Linked DNA regions of Diceros bicornis minor. The protein of the gene in region 4 interacts with the protein of the main gene of each other region in a pairwise test. Links are inferred from orthologs where the notes say so. Each region holds a gene or a part of one and is shown on either strand. Other genes may lie near its edges. The genes, in order: HNRNPF, DMRTB1, QKI and RBFOX2.

What was found.
Region 1: the proteins of RBFOX2 (region 4) and HNRNPF interact in binary tests that used the Homo sapiens proteins (3 or more experiments, as listed by UniProt). The link is inferred for Diceros bicornis minor from reciprocal best matches to the Homo sapiens genes RBFOX2 and HNRNPF.
Region 2: the proteins of RBFOX2 (region 4) and DMRTB1 interact in a two-hybrid assay, tested with the Homo sapiens proteins (3 studies listed by BioGRID). The link is inferred for Diceros bicornis minor from reciprocal best matches to the Homo sapiens genes RBFOX2 and DMRTB1.
Region 3: the proteins of RBFOX2 (region 4) and QKI interact in binary tests that used the Homo sapiens proteins (3 or more experiments, as listed by UniProt). The link is inferred for Diceros bicornis minor from reciprocal best matches to the Homo sapiens genes RBFOX2 and QKI.

What each region holds. Positions count from the first base shown.
Region 1 is NC_080745.1:15,289,119-15,297,072, forward strand, and holds the start of HNRNPF (heterogeneous nuclear ribonucleoprotein F), read right to left. Parts: upstream 3,019-7,954; 5' UTR 2,987-3,018; intron 2,673-2,986; 5' UTR 2,605-2,672; intron 1,739-2,604; exon of another isoform or gene 1,657-1,738; intron 1-1,656.
Region 2 is NC_080752.1:15,755,186-15,762,279, reverse strand, and holds the start of DMRTB1 (doublesex- and mab-3-related transcription factor B1), read right to left. Parts: upstream 3,009-7,094; 5' UTR 2,788-3,008; coding exon 1,971-2,787; intron 413-1,970; coding exon 207-412; intron 1-206.
Region 3 is NC_080778.1:7,347,812-7,354,750, forward strand, and holds the start of QKI (KH domain-containing RNA-binding protein QKI), read right to left. Parts: upstream 3,011-6,939; 5' UTR 2,516-3,010; coding exon 2,374-2,515; intron 1-2,373. UniProt on the Homo sapiens protein: RNA reader protein, which recognizes and binds specific RNAs, thereby regulating RNA metabolic processes, such as pre-mRNA splicing, circular RNA (circRNA) formation, mRNA export, mRNA stability and/or translation.
Region 4 is NC_080764.1:13,676,856-13,683,969, forward strand, and holds the start of RBFOX2 (RNA binding protein fox-1 homolog 2), read left to right. Parts: upstream 1-4,103; 5' UTR 4,104-4,553; coding exon 4,554-4,739; intron 4,740-7,114. UniProt on the Homo sapiens protein: RNA-binding protein that regulates alternative splicing events by binding to 5'-UGCAUGU-3' elements. Prevents binding of U2AF2 to the 3'-splice site.

The DNA.
Region 1 (7,954 bases), on a different chromosome or scaffold from region 4:
ACAAGAACCCTGGTTCAGGGCAACCAGGTGGGGATGAGGGCCCTAGCAGAGGAGGGCTGTCCCTGTCAGTCCTGAGTCCTAGTCCCAGCTGTGTCCCTAGGCAAGCAACTTATTTTCTCACCGCCTCCATTTTCTCATTTGTACAATGGGAATAAAACAATACCCACTTGTAGACTGGTCATGAGCATGTGATTAGAAAAATGTGGTTAAACCTAGCTCTCTGCCTGGACCCACTAAGGCTCAATTACTGCGGATCTACAAAGAGTTGGAGAGCCAGAGCTCAGACTGGGCAGAGGCTGGCAGGAAGTCACCTCCCATTTCTGCAGCCCCTCCAGGCACCTAGGCCGTTAAGTCTCCACACTCTTCACAGTTTTGGCCATATCCGAGGACTAACTCTCCTATTTAATCAATCTTTTCCCTTAAATCAATTCACATTTTTCCTTGAATATTTTATGTTTAAAGGGAGCTTTGTAACAATACTCAAGTGAAAACCAGTCACTTGTCAGTTAAAAAGAAAGGTAGCAAAAAGGCAAATATTACGAGAAGAATGTTACTAAAATAGAAAAAAACTAAAAAAAAACGAGATCATAACATGGAAATAATAAACAATCAACTTACAGAAGTGCATACAGAAACATGAGATCCCCAAGGCAAATTATGGACTTACTTAATATTAGTAATAAAGCAATCTCTCTCAATATTCATTATATGTAGAAATTAATCTATTTTAAAATGAAAAAATTGTCTAGAAATTAGTACATACTGAAAACATTACTTTTCACTGAGAGATTAGATTTTAATATATTTTTTATCTAACCTGAGAACCCGACATATTTTCATCCTTACTAGAAATTCAGAAACGAAAACTAACTTTTAAGAACGTGACTAAAAGTAGTAGTGAGAATTATATTAAGGTCAGTAGTTTCGATGATGTTTGATATAAAAAACTATTTGCAGCCTTCAAAACTCTCCCGCTCCCGCGCCTGCGGACACCTGAGGCCGCCCCGAACCCCCGGCGCCCCCCGCCCCGGCGGCCCTGGGAAGCCGCGGTCGCACCGTCCCCCCTCGGCGCGCCACCCTCGCGGGCTCCTCTCGCGCCGCGCACCCGGCCCGCAGACAGTTGTAAACACCAGCGGAGGAGGGGTGTCCGTTCGTCCTGGGGCCTCCGGGGGAAGAGAATGCGGCCAAGGGCGTCCCGCAAGCGGCGGGCCGGGGCCGACGGGACGCCGGGCGAGGGTCCCGCAGGTGCCCGGGGCCGGGGGGGCTCTCCTGGGCCTGAGGGTTGTCTGCGGGAACACTGGGGTCCTGAGAGGCCCTTTAAAGTAGAGATTAACGGGAGGGGCCCGCGGCCTCCCCACCGTTTCTATAATAGACCAGGGTCCGGGGACCGAGTAGGTCAGGTCCCCGCGACCCGCGCGGCACCACCTCAGGGAGCCGCGCAGGAGCACGGGAGGCAGACGGCGCCGCGCGAGCTCCAGCAGCGTCCGGAAGTTTCTTAGGCGCAGTCAAGAATCAGCGAAACACATATTCAAAGATACAAAGAAGGAAAGCACGAGGGAAAAACGAAACGGCCGACTAAGCCCGCTCAGCAGAAGCGTGGTCACCAGGCAAAGACAACGAGAACCAGAGTTTCACCCCAACATGCGAACACTGTACCTCGACGGGCAGGAGACAAACGCGGACGGGCGCGCAGGGCACACACGCGGCTCGGAGAGGAAGAAAAGGCCGTGAGCACCGAGAGTGGAGGCGCGGCGAGCGGGAACGTGGGAGGGGGAGGAGCCAGGCCCAGCCAGTCTTGGGCAACTCCCGGACGCGCCCGGCCACGTGAGGGAACTGCTCTCATTTCTAAAGGAAGCCCCATCCGACAGGCCCGTGTGCCCGCGCCCTGCTCCCCCTGGAGTCCGCCCGAGGCCCTCCTGTCCTTCCTCCCCGCGGGTCCTGCCTCCCCTAACCCTAAATCTCAGCCCCCTGGTCCAGTCAAGTGTAAGGCCTGACCTCAGGCCCGCCTCCCCGGACCCCAAATCTCAGCCCCGCCGTCCCCACCCCCAGGGGAGCCCAGTCCAAGGTCGGTCCTCCGGTGTGCAGCCCCTGACCTCAGACCCCACCTCCCCCAAATCTCAGCCCCGCCGTCCCCACCCCCAGGGGAGCCCAGTCCAAGGTCGGTCCCCGGGTGTGCGGCCCCTGACCTCAGACCCCACCTCCCCCGACCCCAAATCTCAGCCCCGCCGTCCCCACCCCCAGGGGAGCCCAGTCCACGGTCGGTCCCAGGGTGTGCGGCCCCTGACCTCAGACCCCGCCTCCCCCGACCTCAAATCTCAGCCCCGCCGTCCCCACCCCCAGGGGAGCCCAGTCCACGGTCGGTCCCCGGGTGTGCGGCCCCTGACCTCAGACCCTGCCTCCCCCGACCCCAAATCTCAGCCCTGCCGTCCCCACCCCCAGGGGAGCCCAGTCCACGGTCGGTCCCCGGGTGTGCGGCCCCTGACCTCAGACCCTGCCTCCCCCGACCCCAAATCTCAGCCCCACTGTCCCCACACCCAGAGGGCCCAGTAGCCAGTCGGTCCCGGGTGTGTGGGCTTCGGACCCGCGGCCCGTCCCGCCCCTCACCTCAGGCTCGGAGTCTCCGCGCTCCCGCTCTTCCTCACACCCGGCACCTCGGTCGTCCCCCTGAGCACCTAGAGGAGGGTGGAACGTGGGGGACTTGGCAGTTGTAGCTGAGGCAGTTGAGGCTTGTTTACCATCACCATGGAAACCCCTGGCAGCGCGCCCTGGGCGGGGCTTCCGAGGGGAGGGGTCAGGCGCGCGGCAGGCCCGAGTCCACAACTCCCGCCCGTCGTGCGCACGCGGCGCTTCCGGAAGCCCTTACATGCCCGGTCCCCGCTCGGCCCTGTGCCCCAGCACCTGGGAGCAGCAGCCCCAAGAGATCGCGCCCCCGCCCGCCTTCCGTGTGCTGGCGTGACCGCAGGCCGGTTTCCCCACCAAACCCCACCTTGTTCTCCTGGAAGACGAGGCGCAGCGCTACTTCCACGACAGAGCCGGAAGGACGCAAAGACCACGGCAGGGCGGGGCCGCGAGGGCGCCATTGTGACGCGCCCGGAGCGGAGCCGGGGATTGGCCGGCTGGGCGCGGGGCGGGGCCGGGAGGGCGCCATTGTGACGCGCCGGGAGCGGAGCCGGGGATTGGTTGGCCCGGCCCCGGGGCTGGTAGTGCCTGCGGAGCTGGGTGGTGGAAGGAGAGGAACGGGGCGGGGGGACGAGGGCGAGCTTTTCTCTGGGAAGGGGAGGGTTAGCGGAACGCTCCTGAGCTCCTGACGATACTGACTGGGAGAGCTCCCCAAACAGTGAGCGCAAAGGGCATCTGGCTTGAAGACCAGCCTGAGAGAAGAAAATGAGAGTCGTTTCCTGCCGAGGAAGAAAGAGGGAACCGAGAACACCGGAGACGAAAAAAGCGGCTCCGAGGGGAGAGTTTAGGGAAAGATTAGCTGGTTGACTGAGGTTGCTCACGTGATTATCACTTGGGCTGAGAAGCCCCCAACTCTCTCAAGGTGACCCAGAAGACCCAAGGAGAATGCAGGGTTGCCTGTCACAGAGGCCCTGAATTGAGAAGCTGGATGGAAATGGCTACTCCGCCTGAGGCAGGGGAGCAGATGTGTCCTTGGGTTAATAATTATTACCATTTTAATTTTGCAGACACTCTTTAAAAAGATGACGATATCAAGACCCTCATCGCAGGTTAAGGAGAAGATTACTTAAAAATTACCAGTTAAATTAAGGGAGTGCTTGGCATAGTATCAGATTATGAGTGGACAATGATAGTAGAGAGAGGAGCGTAGTTTGTCAAAAGAAGCTGATTCCAGGAAGGAAAAAATGGGAAGGGTAAAAGCAGGAGCTGTCAAAGGAGGTGAAAATGTACAAGAAGAAAATTAATCAAAGGCAAAATTACAGAAAACGGGTCCTACAAAAATCAGATAGGTATTCTTAAGAAACCCCACAATGACTGTCACTGCTCATGCTGTAGAAAAGTCTGTTTCTGGAGACAAAATGCAAGAGCCAATCTGAGGCAAGTATTAAAATTATACCAAAAAATAGTAATGCTTCAGAATTTGGGACTGTGAAACCAGGTTCAAGGAGATAGGTTCATGCAGTCTGTTAAAAGGACTTCTGTTGTGGGCTGTTTGATGCCCTCATCAAGTTTGACAGTTCTCCATCATTCATCAGTGATGCAGTAACCTTTGAGGTCTTCTCTGAATGGAAGACTAGGGCCTTGGCCTGATTATGAGCCTCCCCCTGTCCAAGGGAGTCATCCCAGGTGTCCACTATGTTATCTTTTTCAGAGGTGAGTGCTAGCACAGCCATATATAGGCTCTCTTCCATAGTGAGGGCTGGAATCAGACTGGTGCCACAGATCCTAGGTCTTTTCCACAAAAGTCCAGCTCATCTCACCAACTGGAGAATGCTTACCCAATCCTGGTCTACTTGGATCACCTCCTCAGCTGTGGGGGCTTAGGGGCCTCTACCCTTTCTTTTCATCTCTATGTACAGAAAAGTGTCACCTAAGCTCTGAAATCTAAAAAGAGACGTTTTTTGATTCTTGAGAGTACCTACACAGAGATGAGCCTTTAAGGTCTGTGGTTTAAAAACAACTGAATTCACCACAAATGAAGATCACCCCAAGATGTATCCTGTTACAGACTGACCTGTTTATTTCCTGTTGTTTATGTAAATAGATTATCACAAATTTAAGACCTTTTAATAAATATTTTAAGTTTTAAAAATAAGCTTCTCTCTGGAAATTACTCGTCCATAACAAATGGTACAGAGGTTTGTATTGTCTAGAGTCTTAAAATTTCCCAGTTGATACCACTTGAAAGAACACTTCACCCATTAAGCTTTGACCCCCTTCCCCAGGAGAATGCCAGTGGGTAGGCAGGATCACCAAGGCTCAGCAAGGCTCTTATTCAAAATCACAGTATCTGTTAACTAGCATTGATGATAACAATACCTAACGTGTTGCAGTGTTCTGAATACTTAATCTCATTTCAACATCATAGCAACCCAAGAGTAGATGTTATTACTATCATCACCACTTAGTGGAAGGAAACTGAGGTAGAGAGTTGTTAAGGGAACTTTGCTAAGGTCACTCAGCTTGTAGATGGCAGATCTGGGCTTTGGGCTGAGGCACTCTGGTTCCAGGATCTGCCCTCTTAACTGCTGTGCTCTCAAGATGTAGGGCTTTCAGCCTGGCTTACCAGCCCCTTCTCTGTCTCCCTTTCCCATCTGAGAGAGGGAAAGAACGAAATGAGAAAGCAAATTCAACTGTCCAGCCACGGTATAAATACTGTCCAAATGTAAATTTTATCCTTGAGGCCAGGTGCTCTAGTAGGTGAGATGAGGGATAAGATAACCCAGCTGGGACAGAGGCAAGTTGAGAAGTCAGCCTCGTCTGGTTAATTTTCTTGACTAATATAGAAAAATGCACCTTTGAAGCAGCACAATGCTTATTCAAGAGGAAAGTCACCACCACAGAGGGCTCGACCCCCGCCCCCAGGGTTATTTGCAGTGCTTTCAGGGTACTTTACGTTCTTTCAGACAGCACTTTGAGTTAGTGAAAGAGATGTTATGGCACCCCCTGAGCTTGATGGTTACTTGCTTGAATTGGGTTCTTTGCGTAGCAAAAGACTGCAGGTGGACTGTGTGGTTCTGGGCAGTGTTGTGTGGCTACCCTTACTTTGACCATTTCTTCAGCAGGCCGGCCCAGCAACAAGCCTTGGTTTGAATGTTAGTGAACAAAGGTCTAGCTCTGTCTCCATTCTGATTTGTCAGCTTTTAGCCTTATCATGAGTGTTCCCACCCAAAAGTATGTGCAGTTAGATGCCTTCACTACTATGGGGCCTCAGGAGAATCAGAAAACTTCATTTGGATCAAGATGTGCTGTTATATGTCAATTATATCTCAATAAAACTGGAAAGAAAAGAAAAGATCTGCCAGGTGCAGGGCAGCTTGCAGCTTCCCTCTGCCTTTCTCTTGTAGTAACTTCCATTTTAAAAAATTATAGACTGTTGAAAACAAACACAAAATTGTAGATATTGTACAAATGTAAGAGATATTGACATTTTGACGTATTGACTATTTCCTCTCATTGTTTTGGACCAAAAAAAAATTACAGATTAAACCACCACTGGTGGGGTATTGACGTTTTGTGATCAGAGAAGAAACAAAATGTGTGGTCCATTTACATAACTTTTTTTAAAAAGAATATTGCTTCCTGTAATACAGTTTGTGTGGGTAGATGTGTGCTATCTTGATCCGGTTTTGAGGCCCTGCTTAGACGCTGGTCTAGTTCCTCTTCTTAAACAGCCAATTAAGTCCACACTACCAAACACCTCCCTTATCGGGCTCTGACACTCTGGGCCGCCATACACTCCCTAATTACCCCAGGGCCAGATATCAACCAGAGACAGCCCCTTGCTCCGGAGCCCACTGAAATTATTTAAATTAGCCGATCCTAAACCTGTTTGCCCTGTTTAACCCTTTCCTTTCAGCAAAAACCACAATAAAGGTGCTTGCCCACAGTTCCCTCTTGCTCTGCCTTGTGACCAACCTGGTGCTTCCCCTGAGTGGCCCCGGTGGCATGTTGAGTTCTCCTCCGAGAGCTGTGAGTATAAAAAACCGTAAAACTCTTTCCAGTTTCTCTCTCTTGATCTGCATCTGACCTCACTGTACCTTACCCAAGGTATTATGATTAAAACAGTTCCTTCCCTCTGCAGCTTCTATTTCAAAACTATCATGGTTGGATGGGTGGGCGGGAGCCTGGCACTGAAGTCTTTGAATCAGCCCCACATTTCCCCTGAGTACCAACCCCTTCAGGGGAGCAGCCTTTCCTGCCTCTGGTTCTTTAAGGCAGAAATTATGCTCCAAAGGGCAAATGAACAAGGAGGCCAATCGTGGCCAGTGATTCGTGAGCCTCACTCCACGTGGGAAAGAGGTGATAGGAGAGAAGTATGGGCCCAGGCCATGCAGGTGCAGTCCTCCCTCTGAGAGCTCACTATATGCTAAGCATTTTCATTACCTATGTTGTTGTCAGAAGTTCTCTTTTTTATCACTTGGGATTTATTAAGCAGCAATGTGTCCTGCTAACCTTTACATTTTGACCACTTTATTTATGAAAAAATGAACCCCAATAATAAAAATAAATCCAAAAAATAAACTCCAAATTTTATCCTGGAAAAATGGAACAAATTTGAGATCTTTATCTTCTTAATAGGAGTTCTTAATAATGTTGACTTTGAAAGTTTCTGACCTACGACATGGAAAAAAAAGGCGGGGGTTCATAAGTTAAGAAAGATCGGTTAAGTAAAGTGGTTTTGTGTGTGGGTGGCAATGAGAGAGACAGAAAAAAAGAGAAAAAATAAAAGAAAGAAGAAATTCCTCATGATATATTCAAAATACTGAAAGGCAAAAACTTTCAGCCAAGAATACTCTATCCAATGAAACGATACTTCAGATACGATGGAGAAATAAAAGCTTTCCCAGAGAAACAAAAGCTGAGTGAGTTTGTCACCACTAGGCCTGCCTCACAAGAAATGTTGAAAGGAGCCCTCCCATCTGAAACTGAAAAGCAAAAGTTTACAAAATCTTGAGCAAGGAGATAAATAGACAGAATCAGAAAATTGCAGCTCCACATCAGAACAGGTTAGTAAACACTTAATTACAACATAAAAGACAAAGGGAAAGAAAGCATCAAAAATAAGTATAAACACTTCAATTTAGTCATGAACGCACAACACAGAAAAGACCAATTTGTGACAATGACAACTCAGAAGGGGAAGAGGAAAGAAATGGAACCTGCTTAGGCTAATGGAGATAAGAGGCTATCAGAAAATGGACTGTCTCATCTAGGAGATCTTTTATACAAACCTCATGGTAACCATTAAACAAAAAGTCAGAGCAGAGCCACA
Region 2 (7,094 bases), on a different chromosome or scaffold from region 4:
TTGTCTACATGTGAATGGACTCGTGTACATGTGTGCACTCCCAGAGGCGCACACCGCACAAGGTCAATGTTGTATCCCTCCTTCCAGTGCTCAAGGCTTGGCACCGAGTGGGCACACAAGTGGCTTCCTGGGATTAAAGATCCATAAAAGCAGCAAGGGCAGTGGGATAAGGAGGAACCTGGAAAGGAGTCAGGGAAGGGACTCACCAAGCCCCCTCCATGGTAGTGGCTGCAGGACACATGCCGGAAGCCCTGCTGCAGGGGGATCCCTGGGGCTGGGGTGGCGTCCTGGAAGCCCAGTGGGAACGGGCGGTACGAGTGCACGCTGGAGCAGCTGGGGTACAGCTTGGAAGGCTCTCTCGCCAGGTACTCAGACCCCACCACACAATCCGAGTTGATGCTCAGAGAGCGCCCTGAGAAGGTAAGCAGTGAGGAAGTGTTGAGAACACAAAGAGCTAGGAAAAGGAGCATCACATCACTGTCCAAAGGTGAAAGTATAATAAACTCTCACTTCCATTTACAAAGAACTCCCACAGCCACTAGGCTTTTAACACTCCCTGTTTTTTAAACCCTTCAACCACGTCCCACTGCTCTTAGAAAAGTCCTCGGCACAGCCGTGAAGCCCCAAGTGCTGGTTCCTGCCTCCACTCCAGCCTCCTCGCTTACTGTAACCTAGTAGCTTCTTTCTCACCCACATCAAGCCCTTTGCAGATGCTGTTCCCTTGGCTTGGAAGGCTTCCTCCCCTAACCCCACTTTGCCTACTTAAGCCTTCAGGACTCAGTGCCTAGTCTTCCTTCAGACCACAGCTAAACCATCAGTTATAAGAGCTCTATCCACTGATTTGTGTGATTCTTTGATCAGTGCTGTCTCTCCCACAAGGACAAGATCCCTGAGGGCAAGGAATGTGACTTTTCCCCCTCACCTGTTCCTCACTGGCGTTTGGCACATAATTAAGTGCTCAGTCTTTGTTCGTTGAGAGATGGAACAAAGAAAGGCACTGTGTCATGGAAAGGTACCCTTCTCCTAGGATTGCTGTTTCAGGTCTGTCTTCCCCACCTAGTTCCCTGGGGGCCTAGATTTTCCTAGAATGTCCCAGAAAGCAGAAATGGCCTTCAGAGGGCATCCAGAGGGAGAGACTGACACAGAAGTAAGGTGCTTGCCTAAGGTGACAGAGTGAGCAGGCCCCAGCCTCCTGACTCAGACTTGTGCTCTTTCTACCACACTGCCATAGGGAAAACCAAGAAAACACATGTCTTATACTCAAAAAGAGCCGTTGCTTAAAACTCAAATCTACATGTGATTTGAAATTATACTTTAATAGTGAAAGCAGCAAGACATAAGGAACAACGTAATTTATGCACGTGGTGGGAGAGGACAGAAAAGAGACAACACCTCAATGGACCAACTGCTGTCCTCCAGCAGGGGGCAGAGAAGGGGCCTCATTCCCACCCATGCCGAGGGAAAAGGCGGGAAGGGATGCGCAAGCTCATTGGGCCAGGGCACGGGTGAGGGGAGGGGCCTCCAGAACGCAGACAGGGAGAGAAGGGTGCGCAGGCGCAGTCATAGTTGAAAAAGCACCACCGCAGGACCGTCCTGGGGGAGGCGCCTCCAGCTCAACAAAAAGGCGGGAAGAGGTGCACAAGCGCAGTAGGGCCAGCCTCCCCCGCGGAGGAGGAGCCACGGCTAAGCGGACTAGAGGCCATGTTTTTCTTGCAAGATGGAAAGTCAAAAACTGTAGCTAAATGTTAAAAGCCCTCTGGACCACCCACTCCTTTCTGTCGCTCTTTTTACATTTTTGCAAAAAGGCACTCAACCCAAATCCGTATTCAGAGAAAGGTTTCGGAGAGCGAGCCTAGGTCTGGGTAGCGTTTTCCCCGCCCCCACCCCCACCCCCAGGGCCCACCCTGCGGGACCGGGCGGCCTGGGACGCCAGCGTGGGGAGCAAGGCCGCGCGGGCCCGGGCATCTTACCGAAGTCGGCGAAGGGCGGGCTGGGCACGGGTCGGAGCGGCCTGCGCAGCTCCGGGCGGCCGGGGTAGCCCCTGCCTGCGGCCTCCGCCCCGAGCTGAGGCCCCCCGGGACCGGGCATGGCCGCGGCGGCGCGTTCGCTCGGCCCCACGTGGCCGCGGCCGCCCAGGACTGGCTGGAAGGCGCTCGGGCCGGGGCTCGGGCCCCGCGGGGGTCTCCCGGGGACGGAGGCGGTCGCGCGGCCCTTGGGGCCCGGCCCCGCGTCTCTTGACGCGGCGAGCAGGGGCAGCGGGCGGAGGCTTGCGCCGGGGGCGGCGGCCGCGGCCCCGGAGGCCAGCTCGGGCCTCTCCTGCTCCTCCTCGGAGGCCTGCTTCTTGAGCACCTTCTGCGCGGCCATGATCTTCTGGCGTTCGGTGATCAGGTAGCACTTCTCGCAGGTGCACTGCTTCCAGCGGCACTTGCCCGCGTGCCCCTTGACGGGCACAAGGAAGCCATGGTTCCGGCACCGCGAGCACTTGGGGGTGCGCAGCATCTTGTCGGCCAGCTTGGCAAGGTCTGCCTTCATAGTACAACCGCCACCTCTGGGAGCTGCAGAGCGAGTGGAGCGGGGATGAGCCGCGCCCCACAAGTCCCTGGTGCTGGGGACGTTGGATACACTTGTAACAAAGCGGCTCTCAGTACGTTCCAGGAACTGCAGCAAGACCTTTGCATTTTCCCACCTCTTTTGGGGTGCAAAATTTGCAGAGGTTCTGTGCCTTGGTTGGGTGCAAGGGATTGGGTTGAGTAAGTTGTTCAAGGAATGCCATTGCATGAATGTCATCTGAGTTGTCTGAAGTCTTAGGCATTTAATTTCCCAAACTTTCTATTCCCGCCACCCCGGAGACAGAAAGTATTTTGTAACTTCAAAAAAGGCGGAGTGATATTCAACGGTCTACAGATTTAAAGCTCCAGACGAACGTAGCTCTCAGTAAACCCATTCCAGTATAAAAGCATCCTAAGCGGCAAACTGCTTCTCCTTCCAAGAACTGCTGCTTCTGCTGAATTTCATTTCTCTCCCCTGCAGAGAAGCAGCCATTCGCAGTTGATGCTTCCAGAATATTCTCAGGAGCTGAGTACAGTGTGATAGTTGCTTAAGGATGTGCCCGTTTAGAAATTCCCATTGCTTAACAGTCTTGTTGGTATAGGAATGCATTTCTAGAAGATGGCCTATTGCTGTTGTTGATGCCTTCCAAAATAAAGCATACTTACAATGCTTTAATGTAAAATAAGACGTAGGATATTTTAGCATGAGCTTGAATTATTGATTAAGTTTGCAATGAATTTAGTCATCCCTGTAAAGCAACCCAAATCTTGAGACACCTGAAAAGCTGGCCAAAACTTCATAGTCTACCAAGGCCACTAAATTAACTCATTTTCTTGTTTGATAGAAATTTGTGACACCCTGAGGTCTTTTTCCTTTTTTCTTTTTTTTAGGTCCAAAAAAAAGGAAAAAATGAGCCACTCACACCTAAGTTGAAAGCTAATAATCATAGAATCGGGAGGTAGTTATGGTTACCACCTGGCTAAAACATGTGCATATTAAATGGCCCTGTCTCTGAAATTCTCTCTCTGTGATAGCAGAATGCTAGAAGTGGAGGCCTGGGGTCCTTGATTTTCCTGAGCCTCTGGTTGCAACTGAACTTTGCATTTCTCACCAGCTGCCTAAGAATAGGAAATGGTTGCCATTCTGAGGCTGATTAGATGCTGGAAAGCTGACAAGAGATTTGTAAAGCCTTTTTCTGCTTTAAAGAAATATATTCATCATCTTAATAAGAGGGCAAAAGTATATGCTTCCTGTATTATTTGGCCCTTCAGGAATTTCACTGGTAATTTTACATCCATTTAAAGAGATCTAGGATTGTCTCTGCTTTGCTCTAATGAAACCGGCAAACAGTTAGCCATTGATGATTAAGCAGCTGATAACTATGGGGGATTGGAATTGGCCACTTCAAAATATGTCTCTGCCTGAAAGACACTTTGGCCCCCACCCCCACTAACTGACCAAAGCAGTTTGGGATGGGAGGCCTGCCCCCAGAACAGGCCATTACCGTAGACATCTCCGGTTATCTGGGAGGGTCCTTGCTAAGCCCATTCTTAGTTCTAGTTACCCTTTTTAAGATACATTTACATTTGTAAAGGAAATCTCCATCTGTAAAGCTGTCTTCTTCCCTGTACCAGGAAGAAGGGGGGGATGGCCTTACCTAGAAACTTATCAGAACAGAAGGCAAGGCCAGGACTTAAATCTGCATGATAAACTTACCCATTGTTAACTGTGCTGTTTAGGCAATATGCTAACCGACTCCCACTAGGTTCCTATAGATGACATCTCCCTGGAGCCTGGGTCACCATGGTAATGGGTGTTTGAGCTATTTTTTTTTTCAGGAATTGGAACCCCTTGTCCACTTCAGGCCGGTTGAGACCACCAACCCATCAACTGGGCCCATGCAGACATGTGTCTGATAAGCGACCTTTTGACGTTGGGAGGTTAAAGCCCCACCCTCAGGGCAAGCTGACGCCACCATTCTGTGAACATGCCTCCTACGAAGAGGCATGAAGCCTGACTACGCTTGCGCAGATCATCAATTACCTCATCTCTCCTCACCTCCAATCATTTCAGACCACCTTGCCCCTACCCCATAAATAGCCCTGAGTCCCTGTTTTCAGGGAAGCAGATTTGAGATCCATTCTCCTGTTTCCTAACTTGGCAGCCTTGTTGTTATTAAACCCTCTCTCTCTCTGCAATCTCATCATCTCAGTGTTTGGCTTTCTGAGTGGCTGGCAAAAACGGACCTGGTGCAGTAACACTAACGCCCTCTATCTTAACTTTTGATTTAAAAAATATGGTCCCACAGATAAAAGGAGAGGCAAGCTCTTTTTCTGACCCCACCCAATTCAAAATGTCTAATTTTTTCACTGATCTTGTCATTTGAAAATAGTACTTATAAATCATAGTTTCAATACTACTGTCAAAAAATCTGGGGCATAAAGCTGTATTGTTTCATGATACTGCAAATTGTAAGATCGTTTCTGCATTATCATATTTAAATTTTAACATCAGATGACATGGGACGATAAGGCCTAAAAAAGAAAACTAATGTCATTTACATTTCTTGCTTGACCACTCAAGCTCTCTTCATTTTCCTATTAATTATTTAAAGAAAAATCCTATTCAGAGGCAACTATTTGAATTAACATATTTTAGCCTTGTTAACTACAAAATGCTGCCATATTTACTTCCTAGCTTTAGGGGCCAAATATACCCAAGGTGATGTGAATTTGCATAGTGCTTTGAGAACATTAATAAACAACCATGTATCTTTTTAATCAGTAGTCACATTATAAGATGCAGAAACCCCAGAGTTTATACAGTAAACAAATCTAAGAAAAAAAAAGACTAGGTAATTTCTCTCTTCCCCCCAAAGTCTCAATTTGTGTAGGTAAATTCCAACAGAGCTTTATTTATTTCACTCTTGGAAATTCAGGCAAATTGGTAGTTTTGTTTTATTTAGGTTGATGACTGATTACTTCAGGGGCTGCTGCTTTTTTTTTTGTTTTAACATACATTTCTTTAAATTGTTATTTTAGAAGATGGTAATGTCTTAGAAGTGAAAACTAGAAGTCAAAAAAAGGATGGGAGCAGGGAAGGACCCCTTCCGTCCCCACACCTAAACCTTAGGATATTTATGTTTAAGAAAGTCTGCATCATCATAAGCAATGGTTTATAAAATAACAAGTTATCGTTGCAGGAATCACCAGTTTGACTAATTAACCACAAAGGGGCTGGTTGGCGGTCATATTTGACTTCCAGCGTCAGATATGGCCCTTTTTCCCTCAGAATCCCAAGTTTCCTATCTTGAATAATGCCTCTTCCTTCAGTTAATATGATTGCTATTTGTACTGTTTAATTCATATTCATTTTAAAGAGCCTTGTATTATGCAGTGCACAGGGGTATCATTTATAATCATTAAATATTGTATCATGCATTGTACTGTTTCCTTGCTGGGAACACACAAGAGTAAGGAAGGGCTTTTTCGCCTATGGCATCTTTCCCCCAGCAGCTATAACCCAGATATCTGCTATCTTCCCCTTCTTCAATCTCTCTCTAGTGAGCAATGAAAACTTTATTGAAGATTTTGTAGGGGATGGAGGGGAGGATTTACATGACTATCCTATAGCAGATGCTTTAAAATCCTGCCTTAGCGTTTCTATTCTCTCAAGAGCTTCCTCTGCCATGCCACACCCACTGGGGAGAAATGGTTTGTTCATGCCCCCCGCAACAGTACCCGACCTTCCTAGCTTCTCTCTCCTCTCTTTATTTTTTGAGAGCTCTGTAACAGCTGTGTCTATCTTATTTTCCATTATGTCCAGAACAAAATAGACATTCAGTCACTATTTGTTGAATGTACAAATGAACCTTGCCTCCTTCTTCTGCCAGTGTCAAGGTTACCTCCTCTCTAACTGGCAAGGTAAGTCAACTTGGCTTCAGCAACTTTGCCTGAACATCAAACAAAACAGACCCCAGAGTGAACAGGACCTCTCTCTTGACAAGCAGAATTTGGGGATCAACTTTGGTTCCTTGAGCTAACCTCCCACCCCTAATAGTTTAGTAATAGTGATAATAATAGCTGGCACTTACCAAGTGTTTATATGTGCCAGTAGTTCTTAAGTCCTTTATGTGTATTAATTCATATCATCCTCACAACAACTCTCTAAGGTAGGGACTGTTATTTTCACCCCCATTTTACACAGGAGGCCTAGAGAAGGTAAGTAACTTCCCAAGGTTTTCCAGCCATTAAGTAGCAGAGCCATGATTCAAAACCAGGAACTCTAGCCTCAAAGTCCATGTTCTTAACCAAATATCTGCTAACTCGATATTTCTTCTAAACACTGTGTTCTCCCCAAGAAAACTTTGGTGATGAATAGAAATGTTTGTCTTTATTACATACCCATTACAGTTGGGGCTATAAGGGAGCAAAATTTGCCACCCCAAAGTGTGTTTCTTGGGCATGAGGATTATTTTAGGCTGATTATTTTTAAGAAACAGAAGACTCAGGAAGTTTTTCTTTTCACCTCCCCCTTAACTGCCT
Region 3 (6,939 bases), on a different chromosome or scaffold from region 4:
TAGCTACCATACAGAAGCAACCTTTACCACAGGGAGTTGAAAAGGCTACAACTCAAGACAGACTAAGACAAGAGATGGAATGAAGCATATTAAAAGGAAAAAAAATATTATTTAGAATGTTTCATCCTCAACTAGTGGTCTCCAACATTTAAAACTCAAGTGGTTACTATTTCAATCAGAGAGAAATGAACAAACTTTTGTTAGAGACAATGACATAATCGGAATTCTAGATTTAGAAAATTAAAAATTTTTGAAGCCAAAGGTTAGAAACTTTTTAACAGAGAACTCCAAATTATCATTTAGAGATTTTAGATAACATAAAAGCACAACTGAGAAGCCTTTTAGAATTAATCAGAAAAACTCAAATTATTTACTTTCTTAAATAGTATGCATAAGATGAAAATATTTCCAAACTTTTTTTATTATCGCCTATGCTGTTTGATTGAACTCGACATTTTAATTCAAACTTCTTCAACTTTAACCCTAAGTATTGTCAAGGCCTATTTTCATTTTAATGTCTATAAAGAATTCCTTGTAAACAACGGTACTTAAGAAAAAAGTGCTTAGAAATTTTTACTAGTACTACTAAAATTTTAACTTCACCAAAACATGCCAAGGGAAAATAATATCATATTTTTGAAACGTGGTAAAATTGTTCCAATAACTTTAAACAAAGTATTTTCAGCGTTTGTAAATACATATATGGACACAAAATGACAGATAAAATAATATACTATCATTTAAATTTCAACTAAATTTAATGTAGGTCAGATTATTGAGTATGTTACACATCTTGCTCCAAACATTTCTCATGTTTAAAAAAAAAATAACTGGCGCCCCTTAGCGCTCACATTTGGAAACACTCAATTTAAGAGTTCCAGCAGATTTTTTTTTTGACATTCCAGAAAGTTTTCTGCCTCCACAACCTTTCAAAAGCCAACACAAATAGGAAAAGTAGAACCCCTTAAAGAGACAGCTCAACTTTTCTCTGGAGCAATTCGAAATTAACACACTTGCTGTTTCAACAGTGTTGAAAAAGCCCATTGCAATATGGATCACTGCTGTATGTGTAACACATGTATGCAAAAACGACAACGCAGTTAATACCTAACTTTTGTACTTTTAAAGTTGTTTCTATGACTTTCTTGACAACAAAAGCTCCCGGGAGTCTTCTTTAACCATCTTTTATCTCGGAGACATTTCCGGTCTTTTGTTCCTTAGTGCCATTCCAACTCTCTAAGCTTCAGATTCCTTTTCCCCAGCTCTACTGTAAAAATCGGGAAATTCTCGTGAAAAGCCTAAAATCCGTTGTTCACCTCTATAAAAATACAGTTTCCAGTTTTCTTTAAACAGTCCTCCGCTGATGCTTCTAAACCGAAAAAAGAAACTCCTTGCTTCTCGATTTGCAAAACAGATTTTTTGGTTGGTCATCTTATTCCCTAGGCGTCCACAGAAAGGCACAGCTACCAAATATTAATGCTCCAAGTCGCCGCTGCACGAACTCGCAGAAAAATTCCAGAGTTAGCCAAAATTAATCTTCTTGTCACTCTTCGCTCCCCACCGACAAAGCTTTTGGGCAAACTTCTGCTCGTTTTTCTTTTCGCCCTTTCAGACCTCTTGATTTCCTGTCCTGCAAACTCAGGCAGCGGCGTGCCGGGGAGCAGGCTCTCCGCCGGAGTTCTCTCCAACTCGGGATTACGTCTACATTCATCCTCGCGGTATTTCGCGCTCGCCCCCACCCCCACCCCAAAAGTGAAGTTCAACTCCCCAACACTTCTCGCTTCCCCAAACAAAAGGACCGAAAGTGCTTTCCGCTGTCATTTGGGGCTCCATCAGCGTTACTTTCGGGCGCCCGCGGCATTCCTTTACATTCACGAGGCCCGCGCTACTCCCCTCGAGTGTTTACACGCCACACAAACTCCAACAAACCACAGCCCCGCGGGAGCTCCGCTCGGGGACCCGCCGGCGTCCTCCGGGAGGCCCCAGGAGCGGCTCGGGCCGGTGTCCTTCAGGCGCCCGCGGGCCGGCGAGGCCGGGCTCCTCCCCGGGAGGCCCGCGGAGCTCGGGGCCGTCGGGAGCCCACTGCCGCGGCCGGGCGCCGGGGGCGCGGGACGGGGCTTGCGGCCGCCCCCACACACCCGCGGGGCGCGCGGTCCCGATCCGAGGGCCCCCCCGCGCCGCCGAGCCCGACCGGCCCGCGAGCCCGGCCTCGGCGCCGCCTCCGTGCACCCCCGCCCGGGCCTCCCGCTCGCGGGCGCACGGCCCCGCCAGCCGCGACCTCCCTGCCCTCCCCGCCGGCCGGCGGGCGTCGGGTCCCGGGGAGAGCGGCCGCCGCCAGGGCGCGGGCCGCCAGGGGCCGGCGCGGCGACTCACCTTCGTCCAGCAGCCGCTCGAGGTGGTTGAAGATCCCGCAGAAGTTGGGCAGGCTGCTCATGAGCTTCTTGTCGTTCATCAGCTGCATCAGGTAATCCGGGGTGGGCTTCGGCTTCTCCTTCGTTTCCATTTCCCCGACCATATTCCAGGCTCCGCAGCTCACTCCGCCCGCCGCCGCCGCCGCCGCCGGAGAGGAGGGAGGGAGGGGCGGGGAGCCCCGGCCGCCGGCCGCTCGGAACTCGGCGTCCCGCTCCGCTCCGCTCCCGCGCCGGGCGCCGGGGCGGCCGGACCGCGCGCTCGCCGCGCTCTCCCCGCCCCCGCAGGCACTTTCGGCCCGCGGCCCGACGCGCTCCCGGCCCGCCGCCGCCGCCGCCGCTCCTGGCCGCCGGCTCGGCGCGTCCCTCACGAGGCCGGCGGGCGGGAGGCGGGTCTCCGCGGGCCGAGTGCGGGCGCGGGCCGCTCGGCGCCGGACGAGGAGGAGCCGGGCCGCCGCCGCCGCCGCTCGCTCGGCTGGTCGCGCCCGCTCAGCCGCCGCCTCTGCCGCGGGCTCGGGGTCTCTCTGGGCTGGTCCCCGCCGCGGCCGCCTCTGCCGCTGCCGCCGCGCTCTGACTCCGCTCCTCCTCTTCCTCCTCCTCCTCGCCGCCTCCTCCTCCTCCTCACTCACTTGGCGGCGGAGTTCGCCTCAGTTCAGGCGGCGCTGCCAGCGGCGGCGGCGGCGGCGGCGCGGGGGGAGGGGCGGCGCGGGGAGGGCCGGGGGCGGGCGCCGGGCGGGGCCGCGCAGGGCGGCCGTTAGCGGGGCCCGGCCGGCGCGCTCCTCCTCCCGCCGCCGCCCCCCGCGGCCCCGGGTCCGGGCGCCGCAGCCGCCGCTGCCGCGCCGTCTCCCTCCGGCGGGGTGGGCGGCCTGAGGGGCCGGTGGCGGGCGGCGTGACGGAGGCGGCGCTCGGCGAGCCGGGCCTGGGCGCCGGGCCGGGGTCGCCGCCCCGGGCGGGCGAGAGCGGAGGGAGGGGTCGGTGCGGGGCCGCCGGCTGGGGGAGGGTCGCGGGCGGCCGTGCTTTGGACTGGGGCGGGGGCTGGGGCCGCCTCGCGTTGCTCGCCAGCAGGCGGCTCGTCTGGCGGGCGCGGTCGGGCGGCGCGTTAGGTGAGAGGGATTTCCAGCGGGACGCGCCAGGGCCGCGCTCGCCGCCCCCCGGCCCCCTCCTCGCCTCCCGTTACTATAGTTTTTGAAAACCCTCTGATCCGCCACCCCCCAAAAGAGGATTTTTTTTTAACGTCCTGTTGCTTCACGGGGGACTTTCGGGGTGGGCGTCACGTGGCCCGACACGTAGCCGTAAGGTTCGAGAGCGCGTGCGCGCGTCGAGGCCGGCATCCACGCCCCTTCCGAGGGTCGCCCCGCCCCCGCCCAGCCCTGCCAGCGAGGGGGAGGGGCGGGGTCTGCCGCGCGCCTGCGTGGGGAGGGGGCGGGGTCGGGGAGGGGGCGTGCCCAGGGGATGCGGAGGGGGAGGGGGAGGGGGTGGCTGGGCCACGGGACCCGGAGCGGCGGGTCTGGGAAGCAGCCGGGTCTTCGCTGCCTGGCTCCGGGTCCGCCTCCAGAGGACGCGTTGGCGGTGGGCTTTGACTACCGCTGCGAAGCTGATGGGAACGCACTAACACCCCGTGTTCTCGCGGTCCCCTCTGGCTTCGGGAGCCACGCGGCGGGAAGGAGCCTGAGAAGCAGCGGGCCCCGCGTAGGCGCCCCTCGTCGCCCCGACGGCGTCGCTCTGCCGGTGCAGGACCTGTGCGAGCAGCGGGCGCGCCTCTGGGGACAGGCTGTGCTTTGTCGCGGCGTTCCGTTATTCCGGGAGCCAGCGACAGCCAGGACTGAGCGTCGCGGTGTACGGAATAACGAGGGGACGCGATGCTGTTGGCGATCTTGCGCTTCGTGGTGACATGGGTGTTCAGTAATAAAATGCAGCCACAATAAACAAGTGAAATAAAGAGCATGTACTGTACCTAGTTCGGAAAACGAAAGTCAACATTCGTATTTACAAACTTGCAAAAATAATCATACAGCGGGCAAGAGATTTTCCAAGCAGCATGATGGGGGGATTTCAAATATTTAGGTTTGTTTGGGGAAGAATTTTCTGAACTGCAACAATGTAGTTCTCTGCTTTATAGAACGTTGTCAGTCACTAAATCTGTATCTGCATTTTATTGCAAGCTCTTTATGACGTGTTCAATTAACATGGACAAAATTATTCAAAATCGGCCTGACGATTGTGCGAGTTACACTGGCTGAAGTATCTGTCGTGTCTACTGTGTTTTAACTGTGAAGAACTTAACTGGGATTTTTGGTAAAATTTTGCTTCGCACCAATTCTGAGGAACACTTTTGAGTTGTATTGAAACTACGGGTTTCAAACAAATACTCTTTGAGTGGCAAGTAGCTTCTGGCCTGTTCTTTTGAAGAACGTAGAATGAGTTTGTTTTTAAAAGTAAGCTACTTTGATGGAGGAAATGGAGTTGCCTTAGGTAGACAAAGTTAAAAACATGTAACTCGCAAATATTCTAAGTTCTCCATCATCCACAGCTGTTAATAGGGCCACGGAATATTCACCTTCTTAATTATCTATTTAGAGGATGAATTTTATAAGTGCAAGGAATACTAATTTGATCAAAAAAATTGTTGTCTCTTTAAAACTAATGTAAGGTATGCTGCTTCAGTACCTAGGAAAATGATAGGTGGTTTTAAAAGGTTTTGGTACCAAGTTATTCATTTGATTTGCTAGTTGTAAAAGATTCGATCCCCTCTCTTAATCGGTTCACTTGTTCATTAAGCTCCCAGGCCTGTGCTAAATGCTTTATATTGTAATCTCATTTAATCTTCAGTTCAACCTTGTGGCTCATATTGGCCAAGGCCTTATTTTACACAAGGGGAAACCCAAGGAGAAGGAGGTTAAGTAACTTCCCAAGACTATATAGCTCATGAGTCCTGGGTCCAGGATTCAAATCCACTTTTATTTTATTCTAAAACCCGTGTTCTTTGCCCTTTTACTAATCCTATCCAATAAGTCAGGTTGAAACTTCTAACGATGTTCGACCATTTTCAACCCATAGAATCTACAATTTCATATGGCTCACTCGGTTCTTATAATCTAAATGAGCCAGATCAGAGTTAAAGAACAGTGGTAAGCAATATTCACTTCCGACCTATTAAATCCCTTATGGTTACAGCATTTGATCATAGCTGATATGTATTGCCTTTCCAAATATGCATACTACATCAGTTCTCTTATTGCAGTTCTTCAGTGGTTCCCCCACCCCCACCCCGGCCCCGCGGAATGAACCCAAAGACAGGTACCAAGGCCTCTGAGATCTCACAAGCTCTGGCCCCCTGCTGCCTCGCTGATGTTGTGTCCTCACTTCCCCTAGTGTGCTGAGCTCTACCCCCTGGAATCCCTCCTGATCCTTAAACAGGCCAAGCATGCTTTCTACTCCAGGACTTTGCCCTCGGTGTTCCCTCTCCTTGCAAGCTTTTCCCACATCTGCACGCCTGCTTGCACCCTTTCCCAGGTCTTATCAGAGAAGGCTTCCTTTACCACCTTTATAAAATATCACATGTGTGTACACACACACGCACACACACATACTCTGTTAGTCTCTCTGCTTACCACCCTTTTAATTTTTTTCATAACATTTGTTTCCCCCTGACATGTTCTATCTATGGGTAAATTTGGCTGTCACCTCCCCCTACTGTAAGCTTCATGAGAGCAAGGACTTTATTTTGTTCTATTTTGAACTCCCAACCGGTAGAACAGCACATGTGCATATAGGCACTTATTAAAAATATGTTCAGAAAAAGAAAAATATGTTCAGAAAAAGTATTAAGTACTTGTTATGCTTCAGGAATTGTGTAGAACCTTCACCTACAATATTTCTTTTAATCCACACGGCAGACATTTGAGGTAGGCATGAATAGCCAGATTTCAGAGGAGAGATGGCTGATGCTTAAGAATAGTGAGAAGCTGGTCCCACAGAGGGCAGAACTGGGTCCAACAGGGTGATACCTCTCATTGAGACAAGCGCCCTGTCTGCAGGTGTCCACGGTATCCCTCCCCTTTCTCGCTCACCCTCCTGCCTCAAGGCATTTTAGGTATATATTACACCATTAATTACCCGACATGTGACAAGTGCAATGAGGAATACAAAAATTCTTGGGATATATCACTTGCCATCAAAAAGCTTAAAACTGTAAAAATTAATGTGGAAGGACTCTTTAGTCACGTTATTACAAAAATATCATCTTAATACAAGTTACAACATACAAGAATATATGTATAGGTGAGCTTCCAGTTGAAAGTCCTTATAATAACTTTTCTTACTCTGAAAAATTATGTCATCTAATATGTTGACACTAGAAATGGTTCTACATTTAACATCAGTAATTAACCACGAGTGGAAATGTATTTTCTGTTCTCTTAAATTTGATTGGCTGTATCTGCTTATTGCTATTCTTGACATTTAAAATAGAAAATTACAGTATTCCAAACTTTTTTCATCACCATGGAGTTCTTGCAGGAATGTTTCTTAG
Region 4 (7,114 bases):
CTCAAAGAGCTTATAGATACAAAGATTTGTACCACCAGCTTGTCTGATGGCTGCTGGTAACCAGAGTACTGGGTTAACAATGACTGGCTTTTGACTAGATCTGTCATAAGATCTATTATCTCCTAAGGTCCCATAATAGCCCTGTGGCTAGGTGCTCCAGCACCCACTCACCTCTCAGTCTCAGTTTGGGGACCACAGCTGGTCCTGACTCCAAACCCCGTGCTAGGGGTCTTTATCGGGGTTTCTCCTGGTGAACAGTGCTGAACTCCTCCTAAGCCCTCGCAGGCACACAAGAACTTGCTCACTTTTTATCAGAAACCATATCCTGGGAAACTCCCCCTCATTTTTAAAGACCCAGATCAAACATAACATTCTGGGTGAAGCTTGTCCTGTCTCCCTCCGGCACGGGGAGCTCCATCTTCCTATAGCTCCTATAGCTTGTGGCACATAGAATAGTCATATTAATAAACATAATAGGAGTAATAATAGTAGTAAAAAGGTCTAAGTTACCATTTATTGAGTGTGTCTATGAGCCAGGTGTCATGCTAAGTGCTTTGCATGCATTATTCAACGCTCAGAAGAACCCCAGGGGCCATACTATGATAATCCTCGGTTTACAGATTGTATCAGGCAGGAGTTGAGTTTGGCTGCATGTAGAAACCTGTCCACAGAGGCTTCACCAAATGGGAACTTATTTTGCTCAAATAACAATACATTAGAGGTAGACGGGCTAGGGCTGGTATGGTGGCTCCACAATACCATTCCTAGAACGTAGCTTTTGTTACTGTGGACACAAGACGTCTGCTGTTTTCCCAATCTGTGTTCCAGGAGGGAGGAAGGCTAGAGACAAAGGGCAAAGGATGAAGGGCAGAGTGCCTTTTCTTCTTGTGGTTTTGTCTTACTAGTTGGGAAGGAATGCTGTCCCCTACCTACATCTCACTGGCCAGAATGGGGTTACATAGCCACCCTTAGCTGCCAGGGAGCCCGAGAATTCTTTTTTTTTTCCCTCTTATTAAAGCTGGGCAGATTTGTGCCCTGAACAAAATTGGGGTTCTGCTAGTAAGGAATTAGAGGAGAATGGATACTACATTGGGAACTACCAGTGCTTGTCACACAAATGAAGAAACTGGGCCTTAGAATGCTAATGATCTTGTCCAAGGTCAGACAGATGGCCAAGTTAGACTCAAAACCATGTCTACTTGACACCAGATTCCATGCTCCTGTCCACTAAGAGAGATGACCTCCTGATCATGATGCATTACAATTGTCTTTTTATTTGATCATCCCTTCCCTAGACTGTGAGCTTCTCGGTGCTAGGAATCAATTTTATTCACCTTGGTACCCCAGACTGGTGCCCATGGTTTGTCAAATGGAGAAATGAATAAATGTTAGGACTTCAGTAGTTTCTGTAGCTAAAAATTCTTTCTAGGAAAATATTCAATTGTCCTCCTCCTCTGTGATGTTTTATAACCACCTGTTCCCAAACAGGTAGCTGCAGAAGTATGTGAAAGCAATGACCCTGATCTTTGTGCCATGGGCACATTTGGCCTCTTCTACTATTCATAGGCTTCTATGCTCTCTCTCCCTAAGTGCTTAAAGCTTGTTTACAGGGCAGGGTCCAGTTTTTCTTTGTTCTGCCTGGTCATTCAAACATTGCTATATCCCATCGCTCTATTTCTTAGGGACATGTGTGCTACTTGAGTAACAATAATTTGAGTCACAAGCAGTCCCGACCCCAAATATCATCTCTTGCTGGGTCATGGAGCAGCCCAAAAAGGACCAGTTGGATTCCAGTATTTTGGCAAGGCAGGTAGGGAGGAGAGGAGAATTCTTAAGACACTAGTTTGGAATGTAAAATTTTTAGAAAACCAACCACTGATGTCCTTAGGTTAAAAAAAAAAGTCATTGTTGTTCTGTAGGCCACCTGGAAAATCCTGATTTTTCTTCAAAGCCATGATGCTTGGTTGGACAGAATCAAGCCCATCTGCTGTGGGGTACTGCCCACAGGGACTCCTGACTTCAGCTGGGGCTGCCTAATTCAGCTGAAGAACAAGCTTGCAGGCACTTGGACTTCCAACTTACTGGCCCAAACAGCAGATTAAGAGATGCCTGGGCTTCTCTTTCCACTGCATTGCCCCCTAACCAGTAGCTTACTATCATTAAACACATTAGATGATAAATATTTACCACTTATTAAGCAGTTACTATATGTTAGGTGCTGTGCTAAGCGCTTTATTTTGTCCCATTTAATCCTTAGAACAATACTGTGACTATTATTGTCATCTTACCGACAAGGAATATAAGGCTTAGTGAAAATAAATGATTTGCCCCACATAGTGGTTGCAGCAAAGGGTGACTTGGGGAGCTTTGTCTGCCCATCCTAATCTCTAGCAGCCCCACAGAAGCCACCTTATGTAATTCAAAAACCCAATAGTAGTGATAATGATATTCTTAGATATCCTCAAACAATCCTTTCAGGAAAGTACTATTATTATCCTAATTTTCAGATGAAGAAACTGAGGCATAGAGAGGCTAAGTAGCTTTCACAAGGCACCATGACTTGTAAGCGGCAGAGCTAAAACTTGGCTATTTTTATTGATCTATAACACAGCCTAGGTAAAAACAGCGTGCTCACTATGAAAACTCAGCTTCAAGACAAATCCTCTTGTCTTCCTTTCCAACTAGCCTGCAGGCCCTAAACCCCTTCTATATAGAAATTCCTAACTCATCACTGGTCCAACATCACATAGCAGGTGGTAAAGCTTGGATTCAAACCTGGCTTGGTCTGACTCCAAAGCAGGGATCTTTACCACTGTACTGTTCCAGCACCAGTCAGGTTAAATCCAAGTTCAAAAGACAAATTGTTGACCCATCTGGAAATGGCCCTAGAAATCATCTAACCCAGGGTTTCTCAACCTCAGCACTATTGACATTTGGGGCTGGATAACTGTTGTGGGGACTGCCCTGTTCATCACAGGCTAGTGAACAACATTTCTGGCCTCTACCCACTAGATGCTGGCAGCAACCTCCAGCCTGGAGACATTTTTGGGGGGAGAGGGAGAGGGAAGGGGGCAAAATCATCCCTGGTAGTGAACCACTGATCTGAACCATCTCCTCATTTTTCAAATGATGCAGCAGGGGTTCAAAGAGATGAAGTAACTCGTGTAAGCTAGTTAGTAGAACCCAAGTGGCTCATGCAACATCATATCTCCCTATAAAGTACAGGGAACAATGCGGAACCCAGAGAAAACAGATGCCCTCTTGGTCCTTACAGTCTGGTAGGAGACAGAAGCTATTACACGAACATCTCTACTTGCATGAAGTTGATAAGCTGTACAGGCAGCAAGATGTAGAGAAAAAGAATATGATCTGGTGTCCTGAGATCTGGATCTGCCACTTTTCAGCTGCCGGACTTAACTAAGCTTCAGGTACATCATTAGTGAAACGGAGACCCTGGTATCTATACCATCAGCTTCAAAACGGGTCTGTGAACGCACTGTGTAAACCGTAAAGCTCCTACAAACATCAGGTATTATTAAGATGATCAGGAATGTGATGATAATAATAATTATGATTAGAGTAAAAGCTTTCAGAAATGAGGAGAGCCATGTAGTGGTGGCTTCATTCCTGGACCTTCCAACCGGAGATCCCCATTCTTCTGCGGGAGAAGGAACAGGCAGAGTTCCCTCCCACAGAGAGCCTCTTCCTTCGCCTGAAACCAACGTGGCCCTTGAACTCCGTACAACTCTGCCACCCTGCCCTCAGGCCTCTCAAGCTCCGCCCGCCGCAGGCTGCGGCCCCGCCCTTAAAGGAAACAGACCCCGCCCCCTCCGCGCTGGCTGGAACTCCGGCGGCGCCAGGCCTCCAAGACAATCCGTCGCCCGTGCCGGAGATTCCCGAACTCTCCCGATCTCTTCCCGGCCTCTTTCGGGCGCCCGGAGCGGAGGCGGCGGAGATGGCCGAGGGGCGCTGGCCCCGCCCCCTCACTCCCCCTCCCGCCCCGCCACCGCCTCCGGCGCGGGCTGGAGTCCCAGATCCCGGTCCCTCCCTCGTCCTTTCTCTCTCCCCGCCTTCCCGGTGCTGCCAGAGTGGCGGGTCGGAGGATCCCGGCCAGTCAGCTCGGTCCTGCCTCGGGCCCCTCCTCCCCCCACATCAACACCCCTCCCCACGCCTCGGGAGCGGGACCGCCCCCTTCCTCCCTCGGCCGGCGTGGGGTGAGGGCCGGTGTGAGGGAGCCAGCGCGGGCGGGCGGGCTCCGTGAGGGCGAGAGGCGGGGCGCGCGGCGGGCGGGCCGGGGGCCGCGTGTGCGCGTGGGGCGCGAGCGAGAGCCCGTCGCGACCCGCCGGCGGCCCGGAGCCGAGGAGCCGGCGAGCGACGAGCGGCGACCGCCGAGCGCGGAGGGGCGCCGGGCCCGCGCGCGCGCGCACGCACGCACGCAGGCGGGGGCGGGGGCAGGCGCGCGGCCGCCTGTCGCGACAGTCGGGGCCGAGGCCCAGGGGGAGGTGGCCTGTCGCGGGTCGCCCGGCTCCCGGAGGCGAGGGGGGCGCGGGCGGATGGCGGAAGGCGCCCAGCCGCAGCAGCCGCCTCAGCTCGGGCCCGGCGCCGCTGCCCGGGGGATGAAGCGGGAGTCGGAGCTGGAGCTGCCGGCGCCCGGAGCGGGAGGAGACGGAGCCGAGCCCGGCCTGAGCAAGCGGCCGCGCACCGAGGAGGCGGCGGCCGACGGCGGCGGCGGGATGCAGGTGACCGCGGGGGTGCGGCCGGGGCCGTGAGGGTGGCGCGGGGCTCCGGGGCTGGACGGGGGCGGGCTTCCCGGGGTCCCGGCTCGGAGGTGGGAGGGGCGGGTCGGGGCCTGGTTGGGAGGTGGGGCGCCCTCCGGCGTGGAGGCAGAGGGTGCAGGGACCCCGGTGTGCCCGCCAGGGTCCTGATTCCAGAGAGGACGAGGGGCACGACGCGTGACTGGGTTTTGGGGGGAAATCGAACATGGTTGAGATGGATTCCATTTGTCCCAACCCTTCCTGGGTTACTTGGCGGGGAGTGGAAGCCGGGAGATCCTGGGTCTGTTGCCCAGAGAGGCGCGGGACTGAGTGGAGGACGGGGGGACAGTGGTGGGAAACCTCCCAAGAAGGAGGAGTACCTTTGGCACTCTCGACACCCGCTGGCATGGGGAAGGAGCGGCATATAAAGGAGAGGCGTGGAAAGCGAGAAAACTCCTCGAGAGCCCAAAGGGGATGTGGCTTAGATTGTGGGTTAAATTAGTTACAGAGGAGGGTGGGAAGTACAAGGAGTTGGGTAGTGCTGTGGGGACACCGTGGTGCTCGGTCTCATTAACTTTATGGAGCCTGCTAATGAGTCTGAAGAGAGACACAGAACATGCCCCTCCTGTACTGTGCCAGTTGTATCTTAGCCCAGCTCTTTAATGTCCTGGGGTGTAAAAGAAAATTTATAGGGCTGTTAGAGGACTGGATTCTGAGTCGTGAACCCAAGCATGATCTGGTTGATTGGGCAGGGAATGGGAAACGGAGTTATGATGTCAGTTGACTTTGTAGTTTGAGGAAGAGCGTGAAACCTTTGTAGATTTTAGGATTTGATCTCTGTTCAGAAAATACTTGCTATGAAGTGGTGGGGCTCACCTACCAGCAATTGTGTAGACATCTGCCTAATTCTTCAAATCAGAGAATGTTAGAGACAGAAGAGACCAGAGACCTCATCTTTTCCAGGGGTTCTTAGCCTGGATAGACTTGGAAGATTCTTGTGCAAAAATAGTTTACGTGCACTTTTTGGTGGGGGAAAGGCAAGAGTTGTCATCATCTTTTTGGTTTGTTTTTGGAGGGGATTCAAGTCCCCAAATGTTTTAACCACCTCCTTTTTTAGAGGGGGAATGCAAAGTCCAGAGAAGACTAGTGACTTGCCAAAGACTACCCAGTGAGCTGGTAGTAAAACTAGAACTAGAAGCCGAGTCTTCTAATTCCTACTCCTGTGCTCTCTCCATTACACCGCTCTTGGAAATCTCTGCAGCGCTAAAAGACTTCCTGTGCTCTGCTCCCTGCTCTGGAAGGCTCTGCCTGACTTCCTGTGTTAGAGAGGGAGCTCTATGGAAGCCTGGCATGTTTGCTGTGTTCTTCTTGGTCTCCTGGCAGAGGCCACTCTGTTACTTGTGTTGATTTGGGTAAAGTGACCCTCTTGGTGTTTATTTTTGAATTCTTTTGTTTTGTTGGCCTGCTTTTGTTCTCCATTAGAACTCTGTCAGACAGAGGGATTGTGAGAAGTAAAACTCAGGGCCATGGAGAAAAGAGAGAGAATATGGGGAGACTTCAGGTGAGGTGGGTTAACATTGGATGATAAGGAGAGAAGAGTGGATGTGGGTGCTAGTGAGCATGTTCCGCTTGGCGTGTGCATATATATCTATGTGTTCATGTATTGTTTCTGTCAATCATGGTTAATAGTGAGACTCTGCCTCTCTTACCCCCCTCTTTCCTCCTGGGGCCCATTATTTGCTGGTTGCCTTCAAATTGGCTAAGGATAGTACTATTTGGAAATGGAGCAGTGTATGGGGACTTTGGAGTATGCAGAGGAAGGAGTGGATTAGGTCCTTTGGGTACAAATGGGCAACTTAGAACTATCCCACAGAGAATCCTTTTTTCACTCTGTGTTTTTGGGGATCTTTATTTATTTTTCACTTTGTGCATTCTCATTGTCGCAGTTCTAACGCTCCATGTCACACAGGTATTCAAATCATCATTGATTTAGCCCCCTGCCTTCAACTAGCTGTATGTTTCTGGGAAAATCCCTTCTTTTTGGGCTTCTGCTTCCTTAGTTGTAAAATAAAGTTTGTACAGGATGATTTCTAAGTTACCTTCTAAAAAATACGTCAAGTTCCCTGACCTTAAGGTACTTGGTGCTTACAATCTAGGTGGCCAGACAAAAGGGTGAAAAGTTAAAAAAGGTGTGTGTGTGTGTATATATATATGTGATTTTTTTTGTAAGTTCCAGAGGAAGAGGAGAGGAGATACCACAGGGTAGATGCATGTCACAAGGCATTGCATAATTTAGAGCCAAAGTATGCAGAGGACTTGTGCCACGGAGTCCAGAAGAAGGAGGTGGAGGGGCCGGCCCA